4 linked regions of the Arabidopsis thaliana genome follow. The protein of the gene in region 4 interacts with the protein of the main gene of each other region in a pairwise test. Each region holds a gene or a part of one and is shown on either strand. Other genes may lie near its edges.

Region 1 (4,152 bases), on a different chromosome or scaffold from region 4:
CAGAAATCCCTAAATTCATCGCCAAAACCTCATGGATTTCGTTGAGTGGTGGTAATTACTAGCTAGTCAACCTAGGCACCTACTTCGATTACAACTGAACAACGATGGAGAGAAGAAGCAGAGAGTTCATATGCAACTTGGGAACTAATAACAGATGAAAAATGTTGTAAAGATTTAGAGAGTATCCATGGAAAGCAACTTACAAAGCTAAAGCGTGATCTCACAGACGCAGACTTCAATAAAAAAAAAAAAGCAGGAGCAGCAGAATCGGAATTTATGGCTGTAACCAGTAAAGGACTATCCGGTTAAACGAGAAAACCGAACCGGTGATTCGGACAAAATTAGTCAATTGTCATTCATCAAGTTATAAAGCCAGCTGACTTTATTAAACGACGTCGCTTCATTTTAACCAAATAAAAGCATCTCCATATTTACCAATTGAAATAATACAAAATCAAAAGTTTGGGATACATCTGAAGGGTTTTTACCTTTTAAATTTTAACAACCTCTATGAAAATATAAACATTTGAAAAAAATGTGAAAGTGTTTGGGATACATTTGACTCTCAAAACTTGACACAGACTCTACACTCTCAAAACTTGATACACTCACAAAATTTGACACACAAACTCAAGTGAATCTTCACACGACCATAGCCTATATACTTCTACACAAAACAGAACAACACTTGCATGTACTTGCTATTTATGCTTCCTTGAACTCTTGCATCTCGACATGGACTTCATCCTTTTAAACTCTGAAATCGAATTTAAATTCATTTAGAACAGAACACAAACCAATCCATTTGAACACTAACACAAACCAATTAGAACAGAGCACAACCAAACCAATTTAGAACAGAACACAAACAACTTAAGATTCATAACCTAACTGAACAAAAACAAGTGAAGAAGCGTTAACCGAAACAAAAAAGACTAACTTTCAAGACATAAAAGACACCATTCAAGCATTTGACAATATGTCAGTGATAAGTTTGTTCTTTAAAGCCATTTCAAGATCACTAAGCGGCGCTGTTTTTCGAAGTAGAGTCTCCAACAACGTCTTCTTGCTAAGCTTCTCGTTCAATTCAAATTCCTTCTGCTTAATCTCCCACATGCTCTTAATCACTGACAGAGTCCTTTTAGCTTTCGCGGCCTTTGCCGCCTTAACACCTGATGGACGAGACATTGCTTCATCTGAATGGCTAACTGCCTGGGAGCTTGATGACTGTGCAGAAGCTTGAGATCCATCGCTTTCTTCATCTACAAACCCACCAGTATCCTGCAAGGTATATGTAAAAGTATTTAGAAGATGACACAAAGTAACATAAAGACAGAATAACAAACAAGATCTGTCATTCTACAGTTGGTTTCAATCGCGTGTTTACAAGTTTGATCCTCAATAGAAAAAGCTAGACAAAAATCAACTTGAAAGAGTTTGAACTGACATGAACAAAAATTGCATTAGAGATTGGTGTTACCATTTGATTGCAGAAACAACTAGAGTGAGAAAAGTATTGTTCCAAGCTCAAGAACTTAAAAAAGAATGTATAGTCTGCAATTCTGCATCCACCTGAAAATAACAGCTCTCAAGATTTCAGTAAGAGTACAAAATAAACACTTAATAGTAATGTATCACATAAGGACCATAAAACCGAAAATAATGGCATATGACCAATTGTTCATCAAAAGCTACAAAAGAAATGCATAAACCAATCTAACAATACTACAGTAACTCAATATTTCCTAATCACTATTAAAAAAACAGAGGCTTCTCCACGAGAATTGCAGTTAGCTCTCTCTATTGAACAGGATCTGTAGTCAAATTTATTGTCTGTTCCAAGTGTGATGAACTCACAATAATCAATAGTTCAAAACAGCTCAATTAAGAAAAACACCAGAAACAAGCCAAAATTGAACAGAAAACCCTAATCACTAGTTAGTCAACCTAGTCACCTACTTCGAGCACATCTCGACACACAACTGAACAACGCTGGAGAGAAGAAGCAGAGAGTTCATATACTTAGGAACTAATAACAGATGAAGAATGTTGTAAAGATTTAGAGAGTATCAATGGAAAGCAACTTACAAAGCTAAAGCACGCAGACTTCAATAAAAAAAAGCAGGAGCACCAGAATCAGAATTTATGGCTGTAACTACTAACTAGTAACTAGTAAATGTCTATCCGGTTTAACATAAAACCGAACCGGTGATTGGAACGTCAAAAATTAGTCACTCACCAAGTCAGAGACCACGTCGTTTCATTTTAGTTAAATGATTCTCGCAACGTCCGAATTTTTACTTTGAAGTTTGAAGCTATTGCTAGTAGCCTAGTAGTATTGAAAATGCCAGTGAATTGAGAAGGATTAAATTAAGTACAACCACAAAGGAAACAAAAACACAGATCGTATGAGTCTCACTTCACTAAAAAGCTAAAGAGAGATGAAGGATTTGCACAGTGTAAGAGACGAAAAAGTTGTTTTGGTTGTGTAAAATAAAAAACAGCACACAAACTTTTAATAAGTTACAAATGCTTGGGAATTATGATACAGTCGTCATCTTCTGAACATCCCATTGAAGACAATTGCGTCAACGTCAGTATTCTCAGAGATCTGTAGTGACGACACAGCTTGAGTATCAAACAAATCAGCTGATATTCCCATGTTGTTGTTGTTGTTATCCCATCCCCTTGCGAAAGGCTCATATGAGACTGACGACCAGTTACTGTCTCTTGTTCTGTTGTTATCATGAACCGCGTAGCTTGAGCACCGTTGGTGAGGAAAGAATCTGTTTATTCCACCACTAAAAAGATTGATTTTGGTAGTATAGTCCCATGGCTTGAAACCTGTTTCTTGGTTTAGCGTGTTTCGGTATGAGTCATCACAATCTTCGCCAAGTAAGACGTGCAGAGCAACAGCCTCTGCTATGGCGGCACCTTCCTCATCCAATCGCCTTTGTTCCTCAAGTTTTCTAAGCTTCTTCTTCTCTAGCTCAGCCCTGATGGCTGCAGAAGTAGCGATGGATTTCTCAATACGTCTCTTTTTCCTCTCTGCTTGTTTGATACGCTCCAGTTCCTCTCTCTCCTGCTTCTTCTTTGCAGCATATGCTGAATCTTCTTCAACTGCTGCGTCTAGCTGTCCTTCCTTCTTCATTTGCTTCTTCTTCTCTAGCTCAGCGCGGATCGCTGCAGTAGTAGCAATAGCTTTCTCAAGACGTCTCTTTTTCTTCTCAGCAATGGCAGCACCTTCCTCAGCCAATCTCTTTTGTTCCTCAAGTTTTCTAAGCTTCTTCTTCTCTAGCTCAGCCATGATGGCTGCAGAAGTAGCGATGGATTTCTCCAGCCGATTCTTTTTATTCTCTGCTTGTTTGATACGCTCCAGTTCGTCTCTCTCCTGCTTCTTCTTTGCAGCATCTGCTGAATCTTCTTCATCTGCTGCCTCTAGCTGTCCTTCCTTCTTCATTTGCTTCTTCTTCTCTAGCTCAGCCCGAATTGCTGCAGAAGTAGCAATAGCTTTCTCAAGACGTCTATTTTTCTTCTCAGCTTGTTTAATTGGGTCCACTACACCTTTTACTTTTTTCTTCCTGGCTTTTCTAACAATTGGCTGAGCTTGTTTGCACATCGAGCTACTGCTATCCATGATTGCTACAAGTCTTTGTTTGCCTTGCTTTTGTTAACTGGCTTCTTCTTTTAGTTGGTTGTTTCCTTTTACTTTGATTCTACCAAACTCACTACACCAAGGCGCGATGATCTCAATGACTACTACACCCACTCAGGTATGTAGGTATACCTCATTTTACGGACAATACAATCCCAAACAGAAACAACAGGAGATAAGAGAAGGGAGACGTTGTAGGAGTTTGCAGAGTTATCCTTTGAAAGCATTCGTCCTAATTTCCAACATCCCTTAACTTCTCCCATTTTCTACAAAAGAAAACAATACTAGATTAGACTTGCGTTAACAGGGATCTCAAAAATAATATACCAAACCAAACCAACCCATCTGCTTTCTTAACCTAATGAAAGCTGCACGACCACACAGTTCTATTTTCTATATGGCTATATGCAAAAACATTAAACAAGAAAGCTTTTTCACAACCAGATGTTACCCAGCTGATTACTTAATTACTCACTCAGGTTACCAACCTATAAACA
Region 2 (7,285 bases), on a different chromosome or scaffold from region 4:
CTCTATATATTAACATAATTCCTTTTTGTTATTAAAATAGAAGCATTAGTTTAACCTCAGATACAGAGTTTTGTCATCTAATTAGGAAATGTCTAACAACCGATCTATATTTTAACACAATTCCTTTTCTTAGAAAGCTATACACCTTAGTTTAACCTAAAACAGAGTTTTGTCATCTAATAAGAAATGTCTACCACCAAGAGTTGGATTCATGTGCTTCCTCCTTATTTGTCTACCCTAATTTCTTTTTATTCTTTAGCATTCCACATTCTCAAGTAAAGTCCAACAAAAGATGGCAAAAAGCTGTTTTATTTCACATGTTTAAATACCATATCTTCTATACTTTCTATGCAAGACATCTGTATCTCATAGGGATCGACCTAAAAACCGAACCAAACTGAATCAAAGATTTATCGATCCGAACCGAACTTAAGTTTTATATAAATAACCGGACCTTGATTAACTAACCGAAATTCATTCTGTTTGTCAAAGTATAGGCTGAGCGAGTCCACATTATACTAAACAAGAAGAGTAGCCAAAACATATAGACTTGATGATTGCAAATTCACAACTTTACTTTCATTTATTCCTTGAGGTAATAACAGTGGTTGTGGTAAACCACATAGTCGAGTAACATCACAAAAGGAATATTCAATCAAAGTACAAAAAAAAAAAACATTTAGACAAAACACACAAACTTCTGTTTCCTACGCTTCATTCCAGAGTGTGCTACTCCATGTTGACTGGTGGAGTTGCCTAAATAAAGACGATTAGTGGAATCGATCAGCAATATCGAAAAGATCTATTAGTGTCTATTGTTGACGACCGGTGTGGCTAAAGAGAAATCATTTGTTACCTTGAATAAAAGATCATGAGCAATAGTGTCCCATGGTAATGAAATGGACATTAAGCAGCATTTAAGAGGGAACATCTCGTCTTCATCATAAGAGGCAGTAGCAGCTGCTATTGCATGTTTAGCTGCGACAGATGCAACAGAGGCTGCTTTACGGAAAATGGATCCGAGATCGATGCTCTTCTTTGAAGACATAGGTGAAACAGGCCCTAAAACTACTTGGCTCTGATCTGAGAAAAGCAATTCTATACAATCATCCTTTAAACCATACTACGTCTTCAATATACATTTCAACAAGTCTCCTACTCTTAAATTTTGGCGATTGTACTTCTTAAATATTGCTGCTATTAAGACAATCCGACCTAAGACAATTGTTGGCTAGGGCATTCTCTATGTTTTTACTTTTTTTTTTTTATCTTCCATGGAATATTACTAACTGCACTGTAACACTCGAGAAAATAGGGAAACAAAACACTAACAGGAAAATAAAGAGCCATTCAAGCATAAGAAATGAAAAGTACCTACAACGCCAGAAACAGCTACTTCAACTTCTCCACGTCCTCCTGGGCCTCTCATATAAAGTCTGTCTGCTTTTCCTGTAATATGACCGAGAGATAGGAGACTTCCAAACCGATTCCTCCCCCCTGTAATAAAAGTTATTAGATGAAAAAACATAAAGCGTGAAAATATTAATTAGCCCAAATCAACGAAAGCGATCTCAGCCTATATAGACAAGGAAACAAGCAATAGGTTCCTTTAGGTCTTTTAGCTCTTAATATCTCAAAATTCCATGTCTACAAAAGTTAATTTTGTAGTCCAGCCATCTTGAGGTTGTCAGGTTGGGTACCGTTTCATATTCACACCTCCTTGATCTCTAAACGAACCATACTACTTCCAAAAATTTCGACTTTACTTTTTGAGTAAATGAGTAAAGGCATGAATATTAAGACTGCATGTTTCCCTGACATGAATAACCACTAATGAATTCTGTGTGCTATAGTGGAGTCAAGCTCGAGACCAAGTTCCGTACTATCATGGACCCTTAATATATACTTTCCATCAAATATTTTGGGAGAAATATGAAAGACCGAGATCGACAATGATAGTGCTAAGTACTAGAAGACTAAGGCAAGTAAACCATAACTACAAAAGTTGCTGGAGAATTGAACTAGGTTCTAAAACTGAATAAGAAATAGAAAAGAAACTGTAAAGTGACCTTCATAGGCTTCTCGAACCATCTGATAGCTGACAAACCCAGAAAACAGAGTAACCTGCAACCAAAAGCACCAGCATGTCAATTTCTTTCTCATTAGAAAGTCACGACCATGTAATGTGTCCATAGGCCTTTTGAAAACCATTGAGCTTGAAGTTAAATCATCTTTACAAAAATCACAAACAATACTTTAGTTAATTTGTTTAAGATCGACCGTTGCAAGCATCAGTGAAACTACCGACATATTCCTCTGTATGACATGGTTACAAGATATTTTCAAGCATTAACCACAAATTAAGGAATCTATTTGAAACTCATAGCAGGTGGCAAATGAATAATTGATAGATGATTGGCAGCAACTGCTGAAAATAGTGAAGCATAGGTGGGAAAAAACTAGACCTTAGGATCTTTCACAGTTCTAGGGTCAGCATTCGTATTAGAATCACTCGAATCTTTAACAGTTGCACTTGGAAAGGCTGCCCCATCGTGAGAATTAAGTAGTACGCAATAGCAATGATCTTTATCTGTCAGAACCTGAAAACATCAATGACAAAGCCAATGAACAAGGTTGGAAAAAAACTATGGTCAGTATAACAACTTCCATGCATGAAACCTAACCATACGACTTAAGTTATTTATAGGAATCATAAAGCCAAACTCCTCTACGCCTAAGCAAAACTAAAGAAGAAGACAGGCCAATCCTCTGAAGAAGATAATAAATAGCAGGTACTAAACTCAAATAAGGAGAGGATGTTAAAGCACCGCAAGAGGTAGTTGAAATAATATTATCTGGATCCTCCAGTCCTGTACCAAAAGCCAACAAACGTATCCTACAAAAGATTTTACTATCCAGTTAAGGAGAAACTAAGAATGCACGTAACTTCACCCTAGTGACAAAGGGGAGTTCATGCATATTTCCTCAACTAAAAACTATTCTTCCAGAGCCGATTTCATTATGAACAAAATGTCATAATTCCTTTGACATTCATGTTTAGAGTTTCTTTGAACGAAATGACTACATAATATAACAGTTGGAAGGACAATACAACAAAAAGGGAGAAGAAAATTTGTTACCACAGCATCAAAGGTTGAGTCAAAATCATCTACGGCAAAACAAATTTCTGGGTAGGCAGGTGTTGTTTCCACTTCCTAGGTAAACAACAATGGAAACATCAAACACAAATTCCAAAAGGACAAACATTGGTATGAGAAAAGCGACTATACTTGCCTTCTTTGAGTCCAGATGAAAATTAACACGACTAGGTGATGCATATACAGTTTTTACAACCTGCACAATATGAATGTCAGATTAGAGAACATGATTACTATTGACTTACAGAAAATGAAACCAAAGAAATATCCATATGCTTGGTCCAAGACTCATGTGAAAAGTCCTCTCCTTATGAAAACAAAACTGAATTCATATTCCGTTTCCTTACTCTTTTCTTAATAGGTTGATGATTAGAACAAAGCTGCACTGATATATTTTGAACAGCAGAGTATATAACTACTCTTTGGCTTCAGTTTCTTTTTCATATGAAAAGATTATAGAAGAGTTGAAAAGTCAAGAGTAATATTATCCAAAACTCTTAGGATCTCTAACCTTGTATATAGGAGATAGTTTTGTGTCTTTACTTCCTTGGTACGTCTTAAGGGCCTCATTACTAAAAACACAAGTAGTTCAAACAAAGTTACCATGATGCAGTCAAATGGAAAGACAAAAAGTCATATGATAAGTAGTATATAGACCAGAGAACATGTCATAAAAATGACTCAAGGCCTAATCACTGAAACTAAGAAGATGGTATCTGAGATTCCAACCTAATAAATAGCTAGACTGAAGTAATGATTGATGCAATAAGATGAGTTTGAACCCCAAACAGGAAAGAAGGATAGTAATATTAGCAATAACAGAACAAGAATTGACAACTGCTGTAAATTAGACAACATGAAATTAGTACAGGATGCCGCTAATCACAATCTGACTGAAACGGTTACCTGCAAATCGCAACAGTAACAGTGAACGATGTGTGGGCAATCATGTTCAAATAAAATGATTTCCTCCAATCAACTTCAGCCAGACTTTCACCAAGCAGCTCATCTAACTGCTTTACAAGTAAGAAAGAAATGCATTATCATATGTTTGTAGACAATACATACAAGGTGCAACACAACAAATAAATGGTTACTCGAAGTGTCTCTGTCCCATGGTCTAAATAAGATATGATGGATCGTGAAAAGCTTTAGCATGTAGGCCAGAAAAGACAATCCTTTACAATAAGCACGTAGTACTCTAGCTTACTTTAATCCCTCACCCGAAAAGAAGTAAAATTAATATTTCCATCACCTTCAGGGGAGTTGCAATCTAAGACCTTGTTAATATACAATTTTTACATCGCAGTTGAAATGTTACATGTCAAAACCAAACCTCATGTAGTGAGATCTAACTAGGTATCTGTATTATTTCGTACAGTTTTTTACCTTAGGTGCCCACCTGCGTACAAAGTAAGGAGCTGGTGCATCCTCATTTTCAGTCAAACCATATGACTTACAGCTCTGGCAAAAGCAACAAAACACTCAACAACATTAACAAGAAGGATGATAACAAAGTTCTAAGTTTTCGACTGAGAGAAAAAGGTCCAAGCTTTACATACCAATTTCCTGACAAAAAACAGAAGATCATCGTCTTGTCGCCTCCTCGACTCCATGCAACGAACAAAGTACACATCAAACACACCATGCCAGAAATTAGAGTCCATTTCTACATCAGACGCATCTTGCTCATCAAGAGACGTCTTTCCTAATGACTTTGAGTGCTTCTTCACCATACTCAGAATCTCATGTCTGAAAAAACATGAAGCAGACAACAAAATCAATTTAAGCAAGATCGAATCAAATAAATGCTGAATTACTACGAAATCTTAGTATTCGAATTAAGCAATTTCATGGTGGAATAACAAAATTCATCAAATAGAAAACTATCTCATTTCAATTTGAGCAGTGACTGGAACTAAGCACGAGATCAAACATAGAACAACAAAAGAATCTGACTTGTTTACCTAGAAGGAGTTACTTCGCCATCGTTGAGCATTTTTTCTACCCTCCGATGATTCTGCTAAAAACGTTGATTACGATCTCGTGATCGAATAGGGTTTTTCTCTCTCTATCTTTGACTCGTTCTTCAATTTTAATTTTTGCTGAATTCGATGCGAGTGAGAGATAGAAGAGAGCACAAATCTTCGATCTGATTTGCTTTAGCGTTGGCAAAATCTTGGCGTGTTGCGTCAATCGGAGCGGGGAAACCTCAATAACTGCCGATTTGCTACAGTGACAATTAAATCTTTTTTCTCTTTCATGGTTGTTAGCGGATAAATCCGTTTGTGGAGTAGATTATTTTTTATTTACCATTCATGAATTATAGTCCGTCTTAATATGCCCGAAAAAATTAAAAATATTTTACTACATACGGCTCTTACATAAAGATAAATTTGATGCGGATAAATCCGCCCCAAGAAATAGAGTTGCCTAGTCCGCTCCGCCGGCAACATCCATTCGAATACATTATATGGTTTGACTGGAAATGGTAGCATAGATGCAGAGATTATCTCAAGAATCCTCTATAAATAAACAATAATGAATATGTGGGTACATAACACTGCTAAGACTCTACTACGCTATTCAGCTCCAACTTACCAATAAGAATATGGAAGGCTGAAGATCTAATGTCCCTAACAACTCTAACAAGCTAATAGATCGATCCGATTAACTAGAATTGCTGGCTTAAACAAACCGGAGGGCCTCGAACAAAGCGGTTAAAGATGTGAAAGTAAACCGCAAGACAAACAGTGATTATCACTGAAGATTTGGCACCAACGTATCCAACTACTTGACGTCCTCTCTCTGTAACTTCTTCATGAATCACATCCAAACTCCTCTTAAAACTTTGTGACGTTTTCAAGATTACAAACTCAAGAATTGATCTCATCGTCTCTAGCGTCACTCTTCCCGTAACATCAAACATGAACTTCCTATTACTCGGCACTGCTAAAGTAGTCGAAAGCGCCTCTGCCCATCCGTTTTCTCGATTCTCCGACTTCCTCAAGGAGGAATCGGTTTTCTCTCCTGAAGATGTGAAGACATCATGAGAAGTTCTCATGAACGTCTCAAGAGCTCCATTACAAACCGAAACAAGAACATCTCGAGCACTATCTCGATGTTTCGGATTCGTCAAACCAGCGAATATCTGATCATAAGTATTAACACCAACCGTTTTATCGATATACACCGATACAGCTGAGCTAGTGAATCTCTCAATACAATCTGCTAAAAGCTCTCTACACTTATCATCACTAAGCAAATTCATCCATCTAGGTTTTAAAGAATCATCACTACCAATCTCAATCTCACCAGAGTAAAATCCAAGAACAAGATTCTTAGCAAAACTACCAACAACAACAGAAACAAAACCAGCTCCTTCCTCTGAGAAAACTCTATCAACTACACTCAAATTCGATTCTTTTTCGACGTTTGGATCGGAATTATACCCACGGAAAACACCAATCGCTACAGCTTCAGAAACCCTAGCTAGAGAATCAGTGAACTCTTTTGATTTGGTGATTTTCGATAGCTGTTTCAAGCTATTAGGGATTTCGTGGGAATTTGATTCGAGAAACTCTTTCAAATCTCGAGAAACGATACTTATCGTCTCCGCGGAATCGATGACCATTTCGGCGAATGAAACAATGCCTGAGAAGAGTTTCATAAGACGCTTCGTCTTCTTAGCGATGTATTGAGAATTGTAAACCCTGTAAACTCCGTAACCCGAAACACCGAAAACCGCTAATAGAATCAGCCATTTCCTTCTTCTCTGAGGTGAAATTGAACCTATGTCTCTCAATCGAACAAGGTCCATGAAAACTACAGCGAATTGAAGAGGGAGGGAGATCTAGGGATTGTAAAATTGGGGATGGGATTGTGAAATTGTTGAGTAGAAGAAGTGATGATTTTGAGTTACCAGATAGATTTGGATAGAGACATGAATGAAGGTAGAACCAAGAAGTGAGGAACTCAAGAGGCGAAAGAGAAACAAAGAACAAGTTGAAGAAGAAGAAGACAACAACAGACGAATCTTTTCGATGTTCGGTTGGTTTGATTTTAAAGTGACGATTGTTTTGGAATCTTTCCGGTTATGGCAAAACCAATTTTGCTGACCAAATATT
Region 3 (3,209 bases), on a different chromosome or scaffold from region 4:
CCGAAGAACCAATCCAGGGCTTCGAGTATGCAGATATGAGGAGGTCAAAGAGCGAGAATATGGGCACTAGAGAGGTTGCAAAAGCAGAGGATGTTGACAAAGAAGCTGAGCAATTCATCAAGTTTGAGCATACGAAGTTCAGTAAGTGGATGACTAAGAGCGCCTAGTCTATGTGGACGAAGAATAAAAAGTAATAAATGACAAACCATAATATATAGATTGTATTGTATGATTTGTGTTTCTTCTTCTGGTTTTTATTTTTGTTATGTAACAAAATGGGTGCTGTTTCCTTTGTCTAGAAAGGTGCATGGAAATAAAGACTACAAATTAGTATATTTCATGAACTCTTGGATCTTCTAGTTCCACATAATTGTTTTTTCCGATAACATGCAAAATCTGGTTTGAATTGGAATTGTACTAATTATGCTACAAGTTATGGTCTTAGTTTCACATTTAAATGCAAGACTGTCACACTAATCATGAATACATGAGATAAAATGGAAGATATAAGAATACAATTCTTTCTAAAATGTTAAAATAAAAGAGAGCTTAAAGAGTTGAAAATATGACATTTCCATTATTAGAGAAGAAAAACAAACCCCTTTTTCAACTCAAGAAAAATGGGGAAAACATTCACACACATCAATTGTATAGTCCTTTATTATGAAAAAACCCCTTCTCCATACCAAGAAAAAAGAAGGGGAAAAACATAAACACCAAAAAGGGTAAAACAGAGGATAGAGAATGTGGTATTTTCCTATAGCAAAGCAAAACAAAAGGAAAGTGTAAAACAAGATTCCACCACTAGAGAATGGACCTGCAAAGAGGGCATGTGGTGTGGTTATTACCAAACCAGTTGTCTAGACAAGCTCTGTGGAAGAAATGCTTGCAAGAAACCAACTCACTCACTTCCTCTTCCTCTTTAAACCCACAAAGGCACACACAACACTCCACACCTTTCTCTTCTTCTTCCTCTTCTATGTTCTCACATAGAGACTTGAACTGTGTTATCGAGATTCTTCTAGTAACAAAATCATCTTCAGGCTCGTCGTCTATCTCCATGGAAGATTCAGTCTCGGATGCAACAATTTGAAAAACAGACCTCACCATGTTCTTCAACAGAGTGATTGAAACAACCGTGTTCATCACCAGAAGTGGTAGTACTCCTTCTGACGCTGTTGGAAAATGCGAGAGACCCATTTTTTTATAACTAAGATTATATTCACAGAGATAGAAACTGAGAGTCTTTGAAAGTTTTGAGACACGAAAAATCCTTAGAAGAGAAGAAATAGAGAGGAAGTATAGCCGCCACTCATGTTCCGGTGGGCGATTGGGTTTATTAAGCAGCGGTGGTCTAAACACGTGTCACCAAGAGAGAGGTTATCGTTAGAGACTCATCTCCCACAATTTGATTGTGACTCAATAATAGGTTGGTTCGTCTTTTATAACCAGAAAATTTAAAATAAAACAAAAACTCTGTTTTTTTTTTTTTTCTGTGGTCTGTTTTGTTGTTAGACTTCTGACACGTATTGTGATCAGCCAACCAAGTTGTGCGTTGTGGAGAGCTCCTTGTTCTCCCGAGGTCGATTCTTGATCGACACGTGGAAGACTCAACGTTTCACGGTTGCATGCCACGTCACTAGACCAGACATGCTGACACATGAAAAATTGGACAAATCTTTGTCAAAGTTCACACACCTGTTCTGTTTCAGCTCCTCACAATCTTTTTGTGATTAAAATCATTCACAGTCCTGTTTCTATTATTCAATGGAATCTGATCGTTGTGCGGATCAAAGAGATTGGTATCTCTATAACCTATAAGATCTATATGTAAATGTTATATAGCACCTTAAAATATCCTGGCTACAACTAGTATTGGTAAGGTACTAATGAGAAGTTGTTGAATTGGATGGGCTTTCAACTTGTAACGATCTGAAATAATCCTTTTCCGCGGCTTCCACTCTGTTCTCGAACATTTTCCATTCCATTTGACATCTATCCCTCACCTGCAACACACAAAAGTTTAAGACAGATTGGTCCATTTGGTTGCTTTCTTGTCAAGGTATCTAGAAAATCTAAGATAGCCCTAGGTTTTGTTATAGGGAAGAGAACACATGAAAGCTCTCCAAAACAAGAGGAAAATTTGTATTGAGACAAAAACAAGTTTTGCTTACCCCTTGCCATGGTGCTTTCCCGTTATCTGCTTTCCCCTATTGGCAAGAAAAGGAGAAAGAATGAGAAATTTTAATTGGTTTTGGAAAGGAGAAAGTGAAGAAGTTAAGTAACCTGGTTGCCAAGGGAAGGGATAAATTGATGAACGATCCACTGTGAGTCTACTATTCCTATCTTCTCAAATGCAGGCTCCTTCATTTTCACATATAAAAATGAAAGCCTCTTCATTAATTGATCAAACATGCAAGAACATTTGTACAAACACTAAGCAACAACATAGTGAACTTTTGTGTACCTCAACACATCTTCTCAGTGCAAAGTCAAGACCCCAACCGTGAACCAAATCATTCTGTTTTTGGTTCATATACAATTAGGTGCAAGAAGGAGACATTATATGAAGATATGAAGGAGCCAATAGATAATAAAGTAAGTGTAACCTGGATCATATGCCACACGCAGCGCCATGCATCTCTTGAGAATACAGGAGCCATTATCTCCACGAATCTGTTTTTTTATTAAAGACATAACGAAGTTACTAATGGTTTAAATATGTCTGAAACTTGAGTTTGATAGAGACGTTTTTTGAAACATACGCAGCACATGGAGGCCGGGGAGGATTAGAGCACCAGTCGAGTTTCTCATCTGTCTCCCTGCTAAGGTTCAAGCCATATTCAGAACCATTTTGTAATGTAACAAAAATAATCTAGAGAGGCCGTTATATATACTTGTGGACTTCACTATGTTCTCTTCTTTTGGTGATCTGCCAATTAAACCCAGTCTCTGGGTCCAAACCAGGCTGCGAAATCTCAAGGTCGTGCTTCTTCACTATGTGTATGTATCTACAACAACAAACATAGTTAGAAATTTTTAAATGGAAGTGAGAAGAGTAAGAGAAACTCACTCTTCTGCATTAAAGTGATCAACTCCAAGATCCTCATCCCATATGAATATATAATCGTATCGTGCTACAATGTCCGGGTGCAAGAATCTCTTTGCATACCACCTTATGTTCACAATATGAGAGAGTCAAGAAACCA
Region 4 (3,686 bases):
TGCTGCTGTAGACATTGTTTTACAAAATGAAGGTACCATTTGACCGCAAGAATTAAGCGAGAAAAGTGATGTTTAGAGCTTCGGGGTTGTTCTTTTAGAGGTTGTCACAGGCCAACCGGTGATTGCACGTTCAAGAACAACAGCAGAGAACATACACATAACTGAGTCGACTTTAATGCTGTCGACAGGAGATATCAGAGGCATTGTGGATCCAAAGCTAGGGGAGAGGTTTGATGCTGGTTCGGCATGGAAGATCACTGAAGTAGCAATGGCTTGTGCATCTTCTAGTTCTAAGAATAGACCGAGGATGAGTCATGTAGTTGCTGAGCTAAAGGAGAGTGTAAGCAGAGCAAGAGCTCAACAAGTGATATGAAATTGGGACAGTAGTTAGTAGTAACCACAACATGTAAAAATTCAATTGGTATGATAGCTAACAATCTCCCACATTCTGTTGTGTGTTTCTTTGTTTTGTAATAACTCTGGTTACGAGTAGAGAGACATTCATATAAGAAGCACATTTACAAAGTCTTAAAAGTTCATTATAACCATAGACCAAAAGGCTAGTTAGACAACTTAGCTAATTCATTACAACCATCGACCAAAAGGCTTGTTAGACAAAGCTAATTCTCACACGAGAATCCAAAGTCCTAAAAGTTCATTAGAGTAGATAGAAAGATGAAGCCTAAGATAGATAACAAAATAAGGCATTACATCTTCATTAAACCCGAGATTAAACGGATAAACATATACAATCCAATAGCTTCCTCTTCTTCTTCTTAGTTGGTTTGAGTAAGCACTGAAGTCACCTCCTTCAAAACATCCATGTTCGCCAACAACAACTCACATTTCTTAGCATCCACAAGCTTCATCTTCTCTTGAATCCTCTTCTTAGTCTCCACGGACACCTTGCTCCACTTCTTCTTCACAGAATACTCATCCAAACCGAGACTAGCGATAACCGGAACAAGAAAAGACTCCTCAAACCACTCCGAATCTTCTCCAAGAATCACGACTTGCTCATCTTCTTTAACCAAAGGTTTCACGTTCTTCTCCTTGCTATTAGCCTTAACAAGAACAGATTCATCTTTCACTTTCTTCTTCACAGGAGTTTCAAGGCTCACACCATCAGATCCCCAAAAAGAAACAGCCAAACCCAAACACTTCTTATCATGATCCGATTCAACACTTCTCACCTTCCGGTCACCAAAATACTTTCTCTTAAAGCTTCTAATCTTGTCAAAGAACTGGACTTTACTAACATCAAAGCTTATAGATTTCTTGGCGATATCAAAAAACCTATCCTTATGATCCCAAGGACTTGTACCTGTCTCAGCTTTGAAATCGATCATTGCTTGCAGGAGAGAGATCTCGTCTTCTTCACTCCATACTCTCTGAGCATGCCCCTTTTTGTTATCGCCCTCTTTCTTAATTCTTTTGACATGCATGTCCCTTGACGTGGTTCCTTCGCTAGCTCGCTTCTTCCCTGACTTCACCGCCGGTGATTCAGTAGCACCTTCGTTATTCCCTGACTTCACTGCCGGTGATTCAGCAGCACCTTCTTTCTTCCCTGACTTCACTGCCGGTGATTCAGCAGCACCTTCTTTCTTCTTCCGCCTGGTTAAGACGAATGACTGCTTCTCTGACTCTGAGTCATCAGAAACTGCCACGGCGGCGGAAGGAGAGTTTAGGGTTTTTGTTGACGGAACAGTGACGGGAGCTTCTTTGGGTTTGCTTTCTTTAGAAGAAGAGATCTCTTCAGAAGAACTCTCAAATTCGCTTGAAGAATCGATTGCTGGATTTTCCAAAGAAGCCATTGGATTTTTTTCGGTATGATGAAGAAGAGTGAGTGAGAGAGTTACTTTTTTTAGGGTTAGTGAGCGGCGAGACTTTTTTTCCTTTAACGCTGAACATTCTTCACTCTCTTTTATATTTAACAAACAATCTAATTAAACAAAGCCCAACAACAAATTAAGGTTGTTCGAATGTTGTCTGCTAAGAGTTTTGGTGGGCTTGATAGGGACAAGGTATTGACTTTAGACTAAGTATCATCGGTTGGTCTTGTCTAGTGTTCTCCATTTCATATTAGTCGTTTTGCTCTGCCTATAATGTTCATTGCTAGGATTCAACAGAGAATAAAGGCTACAATAAGCATATAGTCTTATCTTCTTCAGGGGTTGCTAACATTATTAGTTTGAATCTGATACGCATGGTACACACTCTCTTTAGTCTCTGTAACAGTCTTCTCATTTTTTGAATGATACTACTACTGCTAGAGATCTTTGCCGTTAAATATAGACAAAGTTTAGTAGCCAGGCTAGGCTTGGACATTCGGATTTCGAATCGGATATATTCGGATTCGGATCATTAGGATAGGAGAACTTATTATCCGTACGGATTTTATGAATTTTCGGATCGAATTCGGATCGGATATTTTCGGATTCGGATAATTTGGATAGAAAATTTATTATCCGTTCGGATTTTACTAATCTTTGGTTTGGTTTTTGTTCGGATAAGTGTCGGATTCGGACCGGTTTTTAAAGAGCTAAAAATTGTTCAACTTAAATAAAAATTGGTTTAATCTTTACTAAAATTTGGTTAAATTTTGCAAAAGTATGTATACTATTAACAAATGTAACTAAAAGATTTCCAATTTCTTTATTATTTAGGATATTTTGTTATTTATTATAAAATTACAACTAAATATAAATAATATTTTTGGATATATATATTTTTCAGTTTTCGGATATCCTCTCGGATTTCGGTTCGGATCGGATTCGGTTCGAGTAATTCGGATAGGAGAATTCATTATCCATTCGGATTTTGTAACTATTCGGTTCAAGTTCGGTTCCGGATCGGTTTTCGGATTTCGGATTTTATAGCCAGGCCAAAGCTTTTTCATGTACATGATTTCTTATTCTAAATAGAATTAGGATTAAGTAGCTTCTTTTTACTTGTTATTCAAACTTGAGGAGAAACATCAAACTTTGTTTATTTACAAAGTCTGATCAATTGTTGTTTGTTTACACATATAAGGTCTTCTTAATAAATGCGACTCTGCTTATGATTAGATAGTGAGATTCTCCTGTATGGCTAGAAAGGATCCAACAACGTTTCCTCCGACATCAGGGAACTCCTCACTTCCTGGAAGTGGTCGGACTTTGCCTTTCCGATCAACTTCCACCGGATATTTCATCAGATGTCCTCTCATCTCCGACACTTCCTCACTCCTAAACTGTTCCCAGTTCTCCTCCGCCACTGTTCTCACTTTCCTTACACACCCTAGACTCTCTGGCTCCACAAAGCAATCATCTAGCAGTGCCATGTGTTCTGCCCAAAGCGACATTCTATATCCGTAGATCTGCAGATTATGTACCAAGTATTATTGATACGACTAGGACTATGAAACCATGTGTGTACTATCTTTGTGTGCTATTACCTGACCCCGAGGACCTGACTGTCGTCGTGCCCATGTATGTTGAGGCTGGTAAGCTCCCATTGCAATCTCTGTATCTCTTGTCCCCTCCATTGATCTTTGGTTTATGTTTGCAGATCCAATTACCACATACTCATCATCAACAACCATCCCTTTTGAATGAACATATATCATAAATCTTCTGCTCTTTCGACATAATCCCTATAATACAGTTTCAATCAAAACTCATCAATCAATGACGATAGAAACCGCA

The links.
Region 1: the proteins of AT4G00238 (region 4) and AT5G52547 interact in a two-hybrid assay, tested with the Arabidopsis thaliana proteins (one large-scale study listed by BioGRID).
Region 2: the proteins of AT4G00238 (region 4) and CW7 interact in a two-hybrid assay, tested with the Arabidopsis thaliana proteins (one large-scale study listed by BioGRID).
Region 3: the proteins of AT4G00238 (region 4) and AT1G24580 interact in a two-hybrid assay, tested with the Arabidopsis thaliana proteins (one large-scale study listed by BioGRID).

The regions. Positions count from the first base shown.
Region 1 is NC_003076.8:21,325,360-21,329,511, forward strand, and holds AT5G52547 (uncharacterized protein), read right to left. Parts: upstream 2,140-4,152; 5' UTR 2,089-2,139; intron 2,079-2,088; exon of another isoform or gene 1,948-2,078; intron 1,692-1,947; exon of another isoform or gene 1,573-1,691; 5' UTR 1,484-1,572; coding exon 1,481-1,483; intron 1,282-1,480; coding exon 964-1,281; 3' UTR 504-963; downstream 1-503. Other genes in the region: AT5G52550 (stress response NST1-like protein), read right to left, coding at 2,555-3,637.
Region 2 is NC_003070.9:21,859,461-21,866,745, reverse strand, and holds CW7 (CW7), read right to left. Parts: upstream 5,465-7,285; 5' UTR 5,158-5,464; coding exon 5,126-5,157; intron 4,911-5,125; coding exon 4,721-4,910; intron 4,623-4,720; coding exon 4,548-4,622; intron 4,172-4,547; coding exon 4,065-4,171; intron 3,731-4,064; coding exon 3,670-3,730; intron 3,355-3,669; coding exon 3,295-3,354; coding exon of another isoform or gene 3,291-3,294; intron 3,216-3,290; coding exon 3,141-3,215; intron 2,601-3,140; coding exon 2,466-2,600; intron 2,125-2,465; coding exon 2,070-2,124; intron 1,498-2,069; coding exon 1,375-1,497; coding exon of another isoform or gene 1,328-1,374; exon of another isoform or gene 1,084-1,327; coding exon 806-1,083; 3' UTR 757-805; coding exon of another isoform or gene 730-756; 3' UTR 536-729; downstream 1-535. Other genes in the region: CF9 (Carbohydrate-binding protein), read right to left, coding at 5,833-6,978.
Region 3 is NC_003070.9:8,708,169-8,711,377, reverse strand, and holds AT1G24580 (RING/U-box superfamily protein), read right to left. Parts: upstream 1,438-3,209; 5' UTR 1,201-1,437; coding exon 805-1,200; 3' UTR 554-804; downstream 1-553. Other genes in the region: AT1G24575 (DEAD-box ATP-dependent RNA helicase-like protein), read left to right, coding at 1-167; AT1G24570 (transmembrane protein, putative (DUF707)), read right to left, coding at 1,887-2,006, 2,175-2,210, 2,287-2,364, 2,468-2,521, 2,610-2,676, 2,766-2,822, 2,898-3,011, 3,074-3,175.
Region 4 is NC_003075.7:103,316-107,001, forward strand, and holds AT4G00238 (DNA-binding storekeeper protein-related transcriptional regulator), read right to left. Parts: upstream 1,907-3,686; 5' UTR 1,815-1,906; coding exon 777-1,814; 3' UTR 508-776; downstream 1-507. Other genes in the region: PLDBETA2 (phospholipase D beta 2), read right to left, coding at 3,065-3,358, 3,437-3,634. UniProt on the Arabidopsis thaliana protein: Transcription repressor that binds DNA in a sequence-specific manner, 5'-GCCT-3', to regulate the expression of PGR. Acts as a modulatory component for the glucose-triggered developmental leaf growth process.